Oryzias latipes: one gene and its partner. The protein of the gene in region 2 purifies or fractionates together with the protein of the main gene of each other region. This does not show direct contact. Links are inferred from orthologs where the notes say so. Each region holds a gene or a part of one and is shown on either strand. Other genes may lie near its edges.

The links.
Region 1: the proteins of rcc1 (region 2) and ranbp1 purify together in Homo sapiens (affinity purification with mass spectrometry; 3 studies listed by BioGRID and IntAct, counting the BioPlex papers as one, with this or other methods). This does not show direct contact. The link is inferred for Oryzias latipes from reciprocal best matches to the Homo sapiens genes RCC1 and RANBP1.

The regions. Positions count from the first base shown.
Region 1 is NC_019867.2:23,297,033-23,304,640, forward strand, and holds the start of ranbp1 (ran-specific GTPase-activating protein), read right to left. Parts: upstream 4,496-7,608; 5' UTR 4,379-4,495; coding exon 4,364-4,378; intron 3,056-4,363; coding exon 2,922-3,055; intron 2,593-2,921; coding exon 2,435-2,592; intron 8-2,434; coding exon 1-7. Other genes in the region: trmt2a (tRNA (uracil-5-)-methyltransferase homolog A), read left to right, coding at 5,319-5,353, 5,737-6,357, 6,433-6,541, 7,203-7,384, 7,484-7,598. UniProt on the Homo sapiens protein: Plays a role in RAN-dependent nucleocytoplasmic transport. Alleviates the TNPO1-dependent inhibition of RAN GTPase activity and mediates the dissociation of RAN from proteins involved in transport into the nucleus.
Region 2 is NC_019874.2:68,604-76,121, reverse strand, and holds the start of rcc1 (regulator of chromosome condensation), read left to right. Parts: upstream 1-3,016; 5' UTR 3,017-3,058; coding exon 3,059-3,123; intron 3,124-3,836; coding exon 3,837-3,919; intron 3,920-4,150; coding exon 4,151-4,338; intron 4,339-4,423; coding exon 4,424-4,603; intron 4,604-6,265; coding exon 6,266-6,362; intron 6,363-7,518. UniProt on the Homo sapiens protein: Guanine-nucleotide releasing factor that promotes the exchange of Ran-bound GDP by GTP, and thereby plays an important role in RAN-mediated functions in nuclear import and mitosis.

The DNA of each region.
Region 1 (7,608 bases), on a different chromosome or scaffold from region 2:
GGTACGACTAAGAGGAAGGAGAACAACAGATATAACTGAATGCAAAAGCCTAATTCCTTTATTTAATGATCTGCCATTTATAAATGCAACACATATCTCCAAGCTGAACCTTTACTGTAGAAAATATATTTGATAGATTAAAATGAGCACTGTACTCTAGTTTTTATAGTGACATTTATAACATTGTCCCAACATAAAAACATTGAAAGCTCTTTAGCAGAATACTATGGGCAAAAAAATAAACTTAAATGTGTTCCAAGTTTTCATCTCTAATCATGCACAAGGCTCTGGAGTAGGGGAGGCGTCCCGTTTAGTTCTAAAGAGCGGATGTCCTGCTCATGGTTCAGATATCCCCGCCCCACATGGAGCGTATTATCACGTTCAGGTGAATTCCACCAATGACAAGCAGAGGTAGACAGAATAAGCAGGTATAGTTGCCTTTAGGCACTGGGATTGGACAACCCTGCTCGAAAGCAACATGAACCCTTGACTGAACAACTGCTGTCAAAGTCAGTCTTGTCAACAAAGAAAAATACACAAAAAACATTAACAGCAATCTGTTCAATCTGAATATAAATCTGTTTGCAGAATCCTTTCTAATTATTTTCATTTTGTTTAGTCAAAACTTAACCAACCAGTCCTGATTCAATCCAAAGAAAAATAAAATTAAATCTGTGAATCAGTCGTGCATTACAGAAGCAAAGGATACAACTAGGGTTGTGCCGATGGACGATATCATCGTCCATCGTGATGGGTGACTGACATCCCGATGGAGAGACCACCATCGTGATGCCACGCCCCCGCCACGTTGCGCGTCGACATCATAAGCCGCGGTTACATGTACAAAATATCTTGATGGGATCAATGGTTGGATTAGAATCCAACCGTGTACATGGGCCCAGAAAAATGTTTTCAGAATATAAAAACGTTCACTAAGGTCACAATTTCGGTCGGAATAAATCATTCGCACATGCGCAGTATTCGCACATGCGCAGTTTGAAAACCGGAAGAGGATACAACTTCCGCCGAGCGGCTTTTTTTCCAAACTTTATTGAAGGTAACAATTCAATACAAAACGATAACAGCGCCGAGCAGCTATATACATTGACATGTCAGCTCGGTAAAATACGAGACGATCTTCTAAACGTGCTTTTAATAATGTTACGGTTATTATGAAACATCTGTTCGCTCATCATTTGAATTTTAATCCGTGTGGTCAGTGCTTTTTCTGAACGTAGCCAGGATTAGCAGTATGCTAACACGGGCTAACAACATTAGCTTTGGGTGGCGCTGCACGTAAACGTGTAAGAATAACATCAGCCTTTATTTAGTCGGGACACGACTGGAAACACAAATCCACGTGATTGATTGAATGTTTTCTAAGGACTGAGCGAAATTTCTGCTTTGAAGCTCAAACCGCTGTGTGTCTGCTGACGATCCGAACTGTGCTCAGACACACGTTTAGACCCGGTTCTGAGTTCGGTAGCTCATACCCCTAGAGCTGCGGGACGGATCGCAGTCTTAAATCTCCCTCTCATGTACCCCCCCCCCCCCCCCTTCCCTCAAACACAAAGCTGTAAGTCCGCGCTCCGCCGGTCCACTTCACTAGTGAAGTGCAGGAGCGGACCACTTCTTTTCTATTTTGCTTGTTACTTTTTCTGTTAAAGTCACTTCCCTCAGTTTATACTGGATCATCGCGGATTAACCATTAGTTGGGAAATAAAATGAAAAAAGCAAAATAACGAATAGCAGTTATATAAGAACGAAAAATGTAAAAATACCCCCCCGACGATGTCATCGTCCATCCCGATGGTTGACAGCAAACATCGTCAACGGCCAAATTAGGGGACATCGCCCAACCCTAGATACAACCTTACAACCTTACAACACAACACGTCGTTATCACAAGATACATTTTTGAAATTTTCTTTTTTCATTTTCTGCAATACAAAGTTAGAAAAATGTCAAACAACAGAAAAACTGATCAATTTATAATTGATCAGTTTAATCATGGTCCAACTCGGGCAGAGATTCAGTCACAAACAATGTCCAAATCAGTTATTGTCATTCGATGAGAAGGTTGGCCCGGCTGCAGCTGCGCAGGCGGCTGCAGTTCAGTGATCCTACGGTTGTTGTCAATTTACATCAGTGACCAGATGAGGGGGGCAGGCTGTGTACACGGTTACAAAATGATGCACAAGAGGTGCAGGCTGGAAGGACTGTGTGTCATTCATGACTTTGTTATCACAAGGGAAAAAAACGTTTTCTCGTGATGACGACATAGTACATGTCCAAATAGTACATAATCAAAAGAAAACGGGCACACACAAAAAACCAGGGTAGGTTGTTCTCAGCTCCTATTGTGCATCTATTTCAGGAACATGTTTTAATCATCGTCTCATTTGGAACGCTTAAAAGGTGATGGTTGACTTACTGTTATGGTTAGCACAGATCTTTAAAGTTCGGTCTCTCCTCATTAAAAGGCGGATTGTGCCTTTCTCTTTGTGTTTCAGAAGCTTTACATCACCTGTCCCCCTCTCCTTCCACTCTGGAGGATCATTCTCAGAGGCAAAACGATATAGTTTAGCCCGCCTGGAAGCAAAAGAGCAGAAACGTGACAGATTAAGTTAACTAAACTTACACGCCACATACCTAAAGACTGTTAGCCACTTTCTCGTTTCTGAGGAAATTTTTTTTTTAAACTTACCTTAATTATTTACGTGCAAATAAGCACAAAAACCGAAAGAAATTCCTGTTACGTGTGGCTAAAATGCACATTGCCCGCACATATTTAATCCTAACCATGCCCTAAATACATGCAAACAGTGACTTCCTAAATTAAATGTCCATGGTCCAGGAACAAGTTGAAAAATGCAAAACCTGCATAGCTCCAAATATCAAAGGGATCATAAGTAGCTTACATTTTGAAAAGCTCCTCCTCGTCCTCTTCTAATGTTTTCACATCTTGCTCAGGAAGAGACACAATGGGCTCAAAGTGGGGGTCATGGTTAGAGTCGTCAACATTATCTGTTGAGGTTTCGTGATCATCCTGGTCCTAAAACATGTATGAACAAGGCAAAAAAAAGAGGATATTTTAAAAGGCTATTTTGAAGAAATTTTATTAAAATGTGACACGAGTGCAATGAGCAGACAATGAAAGCTTCACTGAAGGGGGTGCCAGGATTCATTGTTTAAGGATAACTGTTGCAGAGTGAGAGGCCAGACAAAGCTTTGTAACCGTTGCTGAGATAAGCACCTTTAATGTCAATGTACACAGATCCACTAATTTAGCTTTTGAAACAATGAAAAACATCACTGTAATTTATTCAACAGGGGGAAAGACAGCATTTTTAAATTAAACAATTTGAAGGACCAATTAATAATATCACCAAGGTTTGAAAGAGATCGTCTTTGGTTAATAGTTCTTGCCTAGGAAATAAAGGTTGTGGATTTGAAGGACCTTTTCTTTAGGTGAGAAAATAAATATTCACCAAAAAAAGGTTGCTGCCTTGAGTTAGCATAAAATCTGGAACAAAAACTGCAGTGAAAAAGTAAAATACACGGCTCATTTGTTTAAACGTTATTCAAACGAAATACTTCTATTTTTTTCGTAATTGCATCAAACCTCTGAAGTGTCAATTAACAGATATTTAGTTTTTGAAAAGTTGGGGTCACAGTTCAAAAGGCCGTAATCCAGCAAACTAGCCAAATAACTGCTTAACTGTAGCTACACGGTGACAAAAAATTCCTTAAGATGTTAAAAAAGAAATCGGGCTGATATTAATATTGACGTTCTCTAACACAAAGCGTTGCCGCCTGCAAAAAAATTGGCCTCAAAATAATTGGACATTAATTTCAAGCTAACGGAGAGGACCCGTTAGCCAAACTAAGGTTAGCATGGGTTGAGCTGTGCAGACAAAGACAAGTTAGCTGATTAACCTTGTTGTCTTGAGTCGCTTAATTATTTAGGTTTCATTTAATGTTGCTGTGAATGATAAACATATAGAAAAGCTGTGAAAAAGTTGCTATACCGTCGCCTTTTCTTGCTAGAGCGCGTTGCAAAAGCTAATGTTCACACGCTGCCCGCATGAACACCACTCTCAGCTCATAAACTATAGCTACCTCTGTAATCACTGAAATAATTAAAATACATTTACCAGTTAAGTACAGTAAACTGGTAATGGTCTTCTTTACAGAATGATGATAAAAACGCTTCAAATAGATTTCGAAACATCAGGAAACAACATAAATTGTCAGCTTCTATATTTTAAGAATTAAAATGACAATTTAAAAGGATTCCGCCCAAAATTTGGGTTTTATAGCAGAGAGAAAACTCTAAACAACCTCTAAATTGATACCTCACCTTCGTGTCTGCCATATTAATTTAGATGTTTGCAGATTGTGGAAAAAGTTTGAGAGATTCAAATCCCAAACTAGCCGCCGTTTCCCTTTGCTACCCTCACTTCCTGTTAGCGCTTTCGCGCGCTGAATTCTCTGCGCATGCTCGTGGATCCATCGTTACGGCGCGCGCACCGCTCCTGTTGAAGAATGAGTATATGGAGAGAAATAAGTCTCACCCTATTTGTGTGTGCAAAATTCTTGATTTTTAAAATGTGTCTGTGGGCAACTTTTGATTTATCTGTGTGTATTTGAAACATGCATTGATTAAAACATTGGAAAACCTTTAAAAACTAAATACCCTTTTAAACATTCACTTATTTTATTTTTTTAAGTCTACAAAGCACAGAAATTGAGGATTATATGACTTTAGTCACATTGGTTTTAAACAATTTACAAAGGGGGGACCAGCAGATTTTGAGAGGAATTTGACAAGAATGTCCATCCTCAACTATAGTGTTCTTCATTATGACATGGTAAACCAAAATGATATTAAATCATGAATAGTTTCACAAACAAGGCAGGCCTGTAAGGCAAATACACGAAAATATTTAAGATTTATCTAAAACATCTGGCCGTTCTTTAATTGAAAAAAATATATAATAAGGAGTAAACATCTTTTTCGAAAGAAATCTTTTTGATTTGATTTGAAATGGAAATATAGAACTTTAGGGAATTATGTATATTATATTATATATTATATTGTATATTATATATAACATTATATATTATATGGTGATACATTTACATTTACGAATGTAGAATGTTGTCCGACGACTTAATAAATAGATTATAAAAAGGATGATCAATTATGAACAGATTGTTTTTAAACTACACGTTTTATCGGAAAAAGACCCTGCCACTTTAAAAAAAAGAAAAAAAAAGTTCAAAGTTCACGTTGTACGCGGTGACGTCAGCACATGGCGACGCATTGTGCGCACGGGAAGCCCTGCAGGTAAGCCTTGAAAACGTGGATTTTCAGTAAATTCCGGAGTTACCTGTGACAAATGTGGTGTTTATTTGTTTCTTCTTTGCACGAGGACAAATATAATCATATTTTTAAAATAAAAGGAGTCTGCAGAGGTTGTTTTTTTTAGTGTTTCCCTGAACTATGTACGTTAGCAATAAAGTATGCTGTATTGGTTGGTAAAAAAAACAAAAAAACAACCTATTATTCTTAAGCTATTACACACGTACGAATTTATAACTTTTTTAATTAATTGAAAATATGTCTAGAAGACCAAATTGCCTTTAAATATAAAGATTTTAGTTGAAAAGTCAAATAAAGATTTGAGTTTTTTTTATGGCAACCGGATTTCTACTTTTTTTCTATTGCAGAATGATGGCAGATAACGATGGCAGCTTAGCAGCTGATGTATCTTCAAATGAGAAGAGGCCTGAAGATCTCCAGAACTGCAGTAGTAATGCTCTCAGCCCTGACGTCAAAGCTGAAGGTGACCCAGAGGGACCTTCTGACCCTGACAAGTACCGCTACATCAAAGAAGACCTCTTCACCTCTGAGATCTACAAAGTGGAGATCCGCAACCTCCCCAAGTTCATAGGTTTCAACGACCTGAAGAAGTTTCTCGCCAAACATAGCATTAACCCGCATAAAATCAAGCTGATCGGCAAGCACACCTTTGCTTTTGTCACTTTTAAAAACGAAGAGGAGCGGGACAAGGCGCACAAATTGGTGCATGGCATGCAGTGGAAGGGCCAGGTGCTCAGTGTCCGCTTGGCCAAACCTAAAGAAGACCCCATCCTCAAGAAGAGGAAGCAGGAGGTAGGAGAGGGCGGGGCTGGACAGCCGGCCTCCAAACGAGCAGAGGGCGATGAAGAGGAGCTGCCGCTCAGTGTTCAGATAGCCAACGTTGTGACTCCTCTGTGGAACTCTACCTATGAAGAGCAGCTGAAGATGAAAGAGCAGGAGGTGGTGGGAGTTCTGCAGAAGTTAGCCAAGTGAGTGATGAACAGCATACTGATCAACAAAACCTTCTGTTCACGTTCAACATCTTTTATTCCTTGTGGTTTTAGAGAAATTGGGAGCACCAACAAAGCCATGCTGCCGTGGCTGTTTGCACAAAAAGTGAAACATAACAAAATGTGTTGTCCTCTGGAGGCTATCCGACCATCCCCCACACAGGTAGCCATTTTTATCCATCATTAAGGTGATCGCTGTGCTGCCTAGAGACCCACTCCAATGAAAATCCTGTTTCTGGTGTTTATAACGTTATCTTGTTGCTTTTTTTGGATGATGGAGGACATATATAAAGAAAATTCAGATTAAAATGACATTTCCGAGTAATTTTTTATTCAGATCTTTATGAATCAGGCGCAGACAAAAAAGATTGTCGATGTGACGTAGAAGCTACAACGGCAGGACCTCCATTCTGATGCATCCATCTATTTGGACATGACTAGATCCGTGTACGTCTTTGTTTCGTGGTCTGAGCTGGTATCTGGGTCAAAACTACAGCTGGATGGCTCCAATATTACTCGTCATTTTTGTTGCACCGGTAACGTTAGCTTCGGTTCGTAAGGGGCTGGAAGCCAGCAGGAGAGAGTGTAAACAAAGGGTTGATGGTAATGGGGTGACCTTACTCCATGCCAACATTCCCACCCACAACTCAGAAGTGAATTTCTAATGAACTACTGTCGCTCTGCAGAAACTGTCTTATAAAACAACAGGTTTTTTGAATTTGGTTAAAAGCAGCAAAATCCTAATTAAAAGACCATCACTTTTAGAACAGATCAAAAGATGATTGGAGTGGCTCTTTAACAAATCAATCCCTTGACTTCTGTAGACGGAATACAGGAACAAGTGTGAGTTCCTAATCTCCGTGGGTGCAGACGGTGAAGATAAGACCATCGGGTTCCGCTTGGGGAAATATAAAGGGGGCTCCTGTGCTGTTGTGGGGCCATCTGCTACTTGCCACGTTTCGGCTGCAGCCAAGACGGTCGTCCGAGAGTTTCAGAAGTTCATCAGGTCTAGTTCTAATAACCAGCAATTATTTATCTAAAGTTTTTAAATCGCTATTGGTAAGTTTGCCTTTCCAGTGGGAAAATAAATCTGTTCTCCAAACAGGACAACGCCCTACTCTGCGTACAGCCCTGAGACTTATGAGGGACACTGGAAGCAGCTGACTGTCCGTACCACGAGGGCCAAAGAAGCCATGGCAGTTGTCTTCTTCAACCCACAGGTGAGAAGAC
Region 2 (7,518 bases):
ATAGTATTAAATGATAACAATAAATCAATAATAAGTCAATAATAATAATAAAAAACAATATATAAATAAGTCAATAACAATAATAATGATGAATCAATAATAATAATAATAAATCAATAGTAAGTCAATAATATTATTAAATGATAACAATAAATCAATGATAGGTCAACAATAATAAATGATAATAATAAGTCATCAATAAGTCCAAAAGTCAAAACAGATTTTCCCCTTTAAAAAGAAACAAAAAACAAAAGAAAAACAATTGATTTAACCCACTGATTCATGTGAGTGATCAGTCTGTGTAACTAAGGCCGCATTTACACTGCATGGTTCAAGTGACCCAATTCCGATTTTTTTCCTCTCATGTGGCACAGATCGGATATGACCGGTGAACGTGCAAGCAGGACAAAAGCGCATGGATTCCGTTTTTCTCAGATCAGATTCAAGCCTCACTCATATGTGGAAATAAATCGGATACGAATCGGATACCTGCATTTGCGTGTGCCATGTAAGCAGACAAATCGGATATTCCCCAGTAAATGCGAGTCGTACGTCAGTGACATCAACTCAGGAGACCACCAACTGAGATCACATGACTTATTAAGGTGCTTTTGTGCACTGATGTTGATGTCAGCGTGTTACCTTTCAGCCTCAGGCTTCAATTCAATTCAATTCAATTTTACTTGTATAGCCCAAAATCACAACAACAGTCGTCTCGATGGGCTTCGAAGTAAAACATGAACTCAAAAGGATCATGAATACAAAGAGTTCAATAGGAAAATACTAAAATGAACTAACAAACTGACTAAGCTATACTGGCATCCCTGCCCTTAGACCCCCCTTCGCGGTAAGGAAAAACTCCCAAAAAAAACGGATTCCGGAAAAAACGAAGAAACCTCAGGGGTGCCCACATGAAGGAGGGATCCTCCCCCAGGACGGACAGGCAATTTACCAGAACTCTTAGAGAAGAATTAACTTATCTAAATCTACAACTACATATATAAAAGTCCAGCAGACGAGCTTCATCCAGCTGTGGTTGGGGGGACAGTCAACGGCACGAGTCGAGCCGTAGACAGGAACCACATGCAGGTGTAGGAGCAGGAGCAGAGACGAGGTACTCGGTCAGGTACAGAGCAGAGACGAGCCAGAGGCAGGATCCACAACCAGGTGTAGGAGCGGGAGCAAAGGCGAGGTAGACGGTCAGGAACTGGAGCACGGATGAGCCAAAGTCGGAAACCGCTGTTATTTGCGGTCGGGACGCAAACGGTAACTAATCAAGCGGGACACAATTGCTCTGGAACTGGCTAGAAGCCGTTTATTTATTTGCTTGTGTTGCGGAGTGTGGGCGTGTATGATGGCGACCGCGCGTGCTGTGTGTGTGGGTGTGTGTGTGTGTTAGGAGAGGAGAGGGGTGTGAGCGCAGAGCGGGAGAGTGTCGGAGAACCGTAATAAAAAGAAGGTGTCTCCCCCAAAAGATTGTTTTGGAGTCTTTCTTAACCCACTCTGTGCAGAATCCGCCTTCGGCCCTGGAGAAAATCTCCCGTGCGTTTCTGACCACGGTCGGAAAAGAGAAGTCATCGCGCAGGAAAGGTTCAACACTTGGATCAAACTGTTAGTACGGCACGTCTGCAAACACTTCCTCATTCAAAATTCAGAGAGAGCCGAGCAGCCCTCCTTTTTCCTCTCCCCTCTGAGCCCCCAAGGCAATGCCTCCTTCATCGCTGAGTTGCCTCCATGACAACCGCAGTCACAAAAGTCCAGAGGAGGTCCGCGGAAGGCGGAAATGCTGCTACGTAGTCCTCAGAACGTCTACGTTTGATAGTCTCAGCATTGTATAGTGTTAATGCAAAAATCGGATACGGGTCACTTTTAAAAGAGGATGTAAGCGGGTTGTCAAAAAAATCGGATATAGTCAGAAAATCGGATATGGGCCTGCAGACCTTTCCACAGCTATAGATGCTATGTTGTAGGGTTTCAAGCGAACAGTTTGGCCTCTTATCAAAATCTGTTTCCCCAAAATCTTTTGAACATATCCAGACTGTATTGCTAGTTGGTACCACAGTGATCCATCTGGGTTAGCTCTTTTTATCGCTAAGGCCCACTTTTTCCTTAAGTCTGAATCCATTGAAACCTGCAAGAAAAGTTCAGTCACTGAGTCAGAAATGTATAAATTTATATAACTATATTAGCCTAGTCCTAGTGTACTGTTTATAGGTTTAACTAAATAAAGTTTACATTTATGTCGACAGCAAATTATCCGTACATCATGCAGCATGTTGATAATAGCCCTGCAGCATCATGCATGTCAACATGTGTTCTATTAATGAAGCCCCTCCAGCAGTAAAAGAAAAAATTATAGTTCTTACCTGTGAAATGTTCTGCCTTCCTCCTTTGTGGACTCAGATTTTGGCAGTTGAAACCCGCACAATGAACTGGCATTTTGCAAAAAATGAGTTCACATGCATGAACTGCAGCAGTGACTTGACCTCACCAAGATGGCAGTGCTCTCCTCCCATGAGGAATCACCTGATGTCTCCTCTAGTGGTATAACTCATTGCCCACAACTGTCCCTAAGAGGCCCCAAAGAGACCCCCACTCGAGATTGGCGCTGAATGCCTGTCGAGTATCTAACCTAAAACTAACTTCACCGCAGTAATGAGTGCTAATGAGTGTTAACTGTACATTTGTAGCATTGTTAAAAAACAAAGGTTGGCTGCAATGCTTGGTTTGCTACTGTATCCATATTTGTTTTGGCGGAGATCGGTTATGCACGTTCTTACTACCTCATTGAAACAAAAATTTACTCTGTTTTTCATTTTTTTTAATGATCTTAACTTAAATGAAATTGTTTTATCGCCGCTCGCTTGTAGAAAAATAGTGTTAAAAACATCAGTAACAAATGACGTTTTATGGGTCCTGTCTCTTTAACAAAGTAGGCGTTCTTAAGGTTCAAACCAACTCATTGGTTCAAACAATCTGTGCGTCACCCCCCCCCCCCCCCCCACACACACACACATTGACGCTTTATGCTCATTGGTCACGTCGCGCACATGCACGCATGAAACCGGTAGCAGGCAGCGCACGTCGTTTACTGCTAAATCAACTAACTTCTACCGTTAACAGGTTAGTTATATGCTTCTAAAACTACTCTTAAAGAACCAAAAACAACCCTCCTCATGAGTTTTTAATTAAAAATATACCTATACTTTTTCGTTATTCATTTATTTTTGGGAGAGACGCTAACGTTTTAGCTAGCTAGCTAGAAAAGCAAGTGATTTTACAAACGTTTTTCTGAGTTGATTGTGTTTTTCGCCTTGTTGGTGTGTGTAATGTTAAAAAAACAGTGTTTCTGTGTTTTTCTTTTATGTTAAAGGAAGGACATAAATCAATGGAGCGTATTTGTTGACCCTCTCTCACTAAGTGTTAAGGACACATGGCCATGGCTAGCAGCGTTAGCGGTCATGATGCAGCTCAATTAAACCGCAGGCTCGGTGTAAACTCACCTATCCAAACCACCTTGGACTTAGATTTTCAATAGTTTGCAGGCGTGTTGACACTGGTGTGCTGGCGCTCGCGGGGAGCAGAGGAAGCCCAGCTGTTTCTGGGGTTAAGAACCAGCCTCTGGACCCCAAGGCAGCTGCTGTGAGAGAGCCAGCAGCTGCTAGTTCAACAAGCATAGGCCTTTATGTCTGCCTGATCCACGTTTCTCACTTTGATTTTAGTTGAAGGCTTGGAGCAAAGCTTGTTTTTTTTTTTTTTGTAAATATATGAACACTTAATATGTTTTTTATATATATATATATATATATATAAATAAATAAATTTCTATTTAATAGTGTCACAATGCCCAGCAAGAAGACTGCCCCAAAGAGGAAGTCTGCAGCTGTTGAAGGTGCTAATGAGCCCAAGAAAGTAAAAGGTAATATTTAAGTTTGCTGTGTATGTCCAATTACAAGGGGTTACTCATAAAAAAATATTTTTTGTGTTGTAAATAATTCACTTTCTGCCAAACTATTTATTGGAAGAGAAATCTAGATAGAAATATTCTTCAACTTTAAACTAGTTAGATAAAATTAATCCCCTGTAGCTACTGAATTCCATGTTTACATTAGATCAGCTTATTTTTGAAGTGTTATTTATTTATTTGCAGTTTCACATGGCAGTCACTGCAACGAGCCGGGCCAAGTTTTGGTCCTAGGCCAGGGTGATGTTGGCCAACTTGGTTTGGGTGAGGACATCATTCAGAGGAAGAAGCCAGCGCTCCTGTCCTTACCTGAGAAAGTATTTCAAGTGACAGCAGGAGGCATGCACACTGTGTGTCTCAGCGAAAGTAGACACGTACGTGAATGACGGCCCGGTTTGCTTTTTTTTCTCAAGTTAAAAAAAATGAATTAGTAGATTTATTCATTTATTTATTTTTAAGGTGTATACTTTTGGCTGTAATGATGAGGGGGCTCTTGGTCGAGACACAACAGAAGAGGGGTCTGAGATGGTTCCAGGAAAGGTGACTCTAGGTGAGAAGGTGGTCCAGGTGTCTGCAGGGGACAGCCACACAGCTGCTCTCACAGAGGATGGATCTGTTTACATCTGGGGCTCCTTCAGGGTTTGTAAACTCCTTCAGTCAATTTCTGGCACTCTGATATGGTTTTTCCTAAAATGTCCAAATACGTGGAATTCATTTTCACCATAATTAGCTGAGGTCTATTATCACTTGTTGACTTGATCTCTTTTTAAATTGGTTAAAGTTTATTTTATTTTATTTAATCTAATCCATACATTTCTCAGACTCTTAATGGGTTTTATTGTATGGCACATGTGTCAAACTCAAGGCCCGCGGGCCAAATGTGGCCCGCCATGTCATTTTGTGGCCCGCGAGAGCAGTTTTTAATTTCTTAAAATAGTTTTTAATTTCTTAAAATTAGGAGGAATCTGACTTGAAGTATTGGATTGGGCAACAATACATTAGTACGGAGCCCGTGTCCTGACATTAAAAAATTAAAATGTCTCGTTCCCACAAATTAATATCTTGGTCGCACGAAATAATATTCCGTTCCCACAAGATAATATTCCGTTCCCTCGAAATAATTAATTCGTGCGAACGCAATTATTATTCACGTCATAAGTCATTCATAAACACAGATATACTCTCCGTCCGGTCGCAAAAGGCACTTTCAGCGGTAAGTTCTGTGTCTCTGTGACCCACATTCGTTCAAGCAAGGAAAAAGAAAAACAAGAATGATCAATTTATAATCGTCTCAATGAATATAAGAAAAATATAAGATTTATGATACCTAGGCTTGCTGCTTTGCCATACGATTCACCGGACCTAGCTCCGTCGCAGAGCTCTTTTGCTTGTCATGCCGGCATTCGGGCAGCTGGCTGGCCGGTAGACAGACATCCAGCTGATATTGTAGTTTAGGGTCGAATATATAGGAATAATAATATTCAGGACTTGTCTTTTATTAACATACTCTTTAGCAGTTGCTTTACATTCGAAGGTTAGTAGGCAACACGCTAACTAACTAGCCGATCATTTATCCTGTTATTTACGTCATAGATTTTCAGCAGAAACCTTCACATTTCTGTCTGTGTGTGTCTTATTACATTGCATTTAAGACACGGAGGATGTTTATAGATCAAATTTATTAAAAGCCGCTTTCTGCCGCTACTTCCGTGTCTCTGTGAGCATTCAATAGGGGTAAAAATAAAAGCAAGGATGAGCAATCTATTATTGTCTCGATGAAAATCAGAAAAATATCCTAAGATTACGCTGGCTGTCAGAGTCATTTCGTTCGCACGAATTAATCATTTCGAGGGAACGAAATATTATCTTGTCGGAACGGAATATTATTTTGTGCGAGCAAGATATTGATCTGTGGGAACGAGACATATTTTAATTTTTTAATGTCAGGACACGGGCTCCGTACATTAGAACTTAAACACTGTCCATAAAACCTAACCTGAGAGGATCAGATTTAAAAGGATTTATGCTAGATTAAAAAGCAAACATGTTTTCTATGCAACTGTAATTGTCACTTTAAAAAGTTATAATAAAGAAATGAGTAATTTAACATTAAGGAGGAGTTGCGTTTATTTTTCATTACATTTAGTTACATGTATAAGTTATGTCTGGCCCTTTGAGGACAACCACTATGCTGATGTGGCCCTCAGTGAAAATGAGTTTGACACCCCTGTTGTATGGTATTGGCTTCTTTCTGCAGTTATTAATTTTTGTGAATTTTCAGCTGTGCTGTTTTTTTAATAGGATAATAATGGTGTAATTGGTCTTCTGGAGCCCATGAAAACATGCCCAGTCCCAGTGAAGATCCCCATCCCAGAACCTGCTGTAAAAATTGCCTCAGGTGAGTAAAACCTCCCGGGAATTTGCTTGAAGTTTTATTTAAAGATTCTAGGCTGATTATGGCCCACAGCGGTCAAGGACTCCAAGGACCATATTGTTTTTGCAACGACTGACAAAAACTATATGGTTTAAAAAACTCAAAGGAAAGGAATAAGCCCCAAAAGACATGACCAGTGTGTAGTAAAACACAAAATACAAAGACACAGTCGGTCCTAACCGCAAAAACTTGTAGATTGTTTCTGCAATACTTATGATTCCGCTTTCTATCTGCGCCTTTGAGCGAAAAATTTGACCCCACCACATACACAAAAAAACTCACCAAAATCTGCACACATTCAAAAAAAAAAAAACTTAGTTTCAGATACAAACGAAAACGCGTCCTAGGGATTTTTATCTATAGTCTCGTAACTTCTCGGCCATCAATGGCAAGCCACTGTGGAAAAATGTCAGAATTGGAGGTTGTAGATTTTGGATGGTTGTACGTGGCAAGTTGCAACTGTTGCGATCTTAGCTAGCTCGCACATTTCTTATTGGGGTGTCGTAAAAATTCAATATGCATTTCCCTGGCCCAAGCTGAATAAAACGATGCAACATTCTAGATGACAATGTTAAAATAGTGGGTGTGGTAAACAAAAAATGTCGCAAAAAATTGTGCTGAATCAGCTAAATAAATTTTCTTTCTAAATGGAAATCTACTTACGAAACCAATATACCTTTGTCTGGGATATCCAATGAAAGAAGTTATGAAATAGTTATGAAATACTTATGGAATGGCGACACACCTATGGTTTGTTGGCCATTTTGTGCCAAAATTGGAGATTTGGCGTAGTGGAGTTTTGTCAACATTTGACCTCGGGAAGAGGCCGCCACCTTTAATTAAAAGCAGTTATGGAAAAGATGTTGCAATTAGAAGTTGTACATTTTTAACGGTGTGCGAGTGGTGAGCTAGCTAAAGTGGCATTCTCTTATTACTCGCACATGTTTAAATGGAAAACTGTGAACATTTAATGCATGTATCCATGACTAGAACTGAACAAATTAATATAACATTGGATACAAACATATAAGTAATGTGGGTGTGGTACCAAAACAAAATGATTGCTATAAAGATAAAACTAACAGAAAAGCCGCCGTTTTGAAGAAAGTGGATTTTCTAT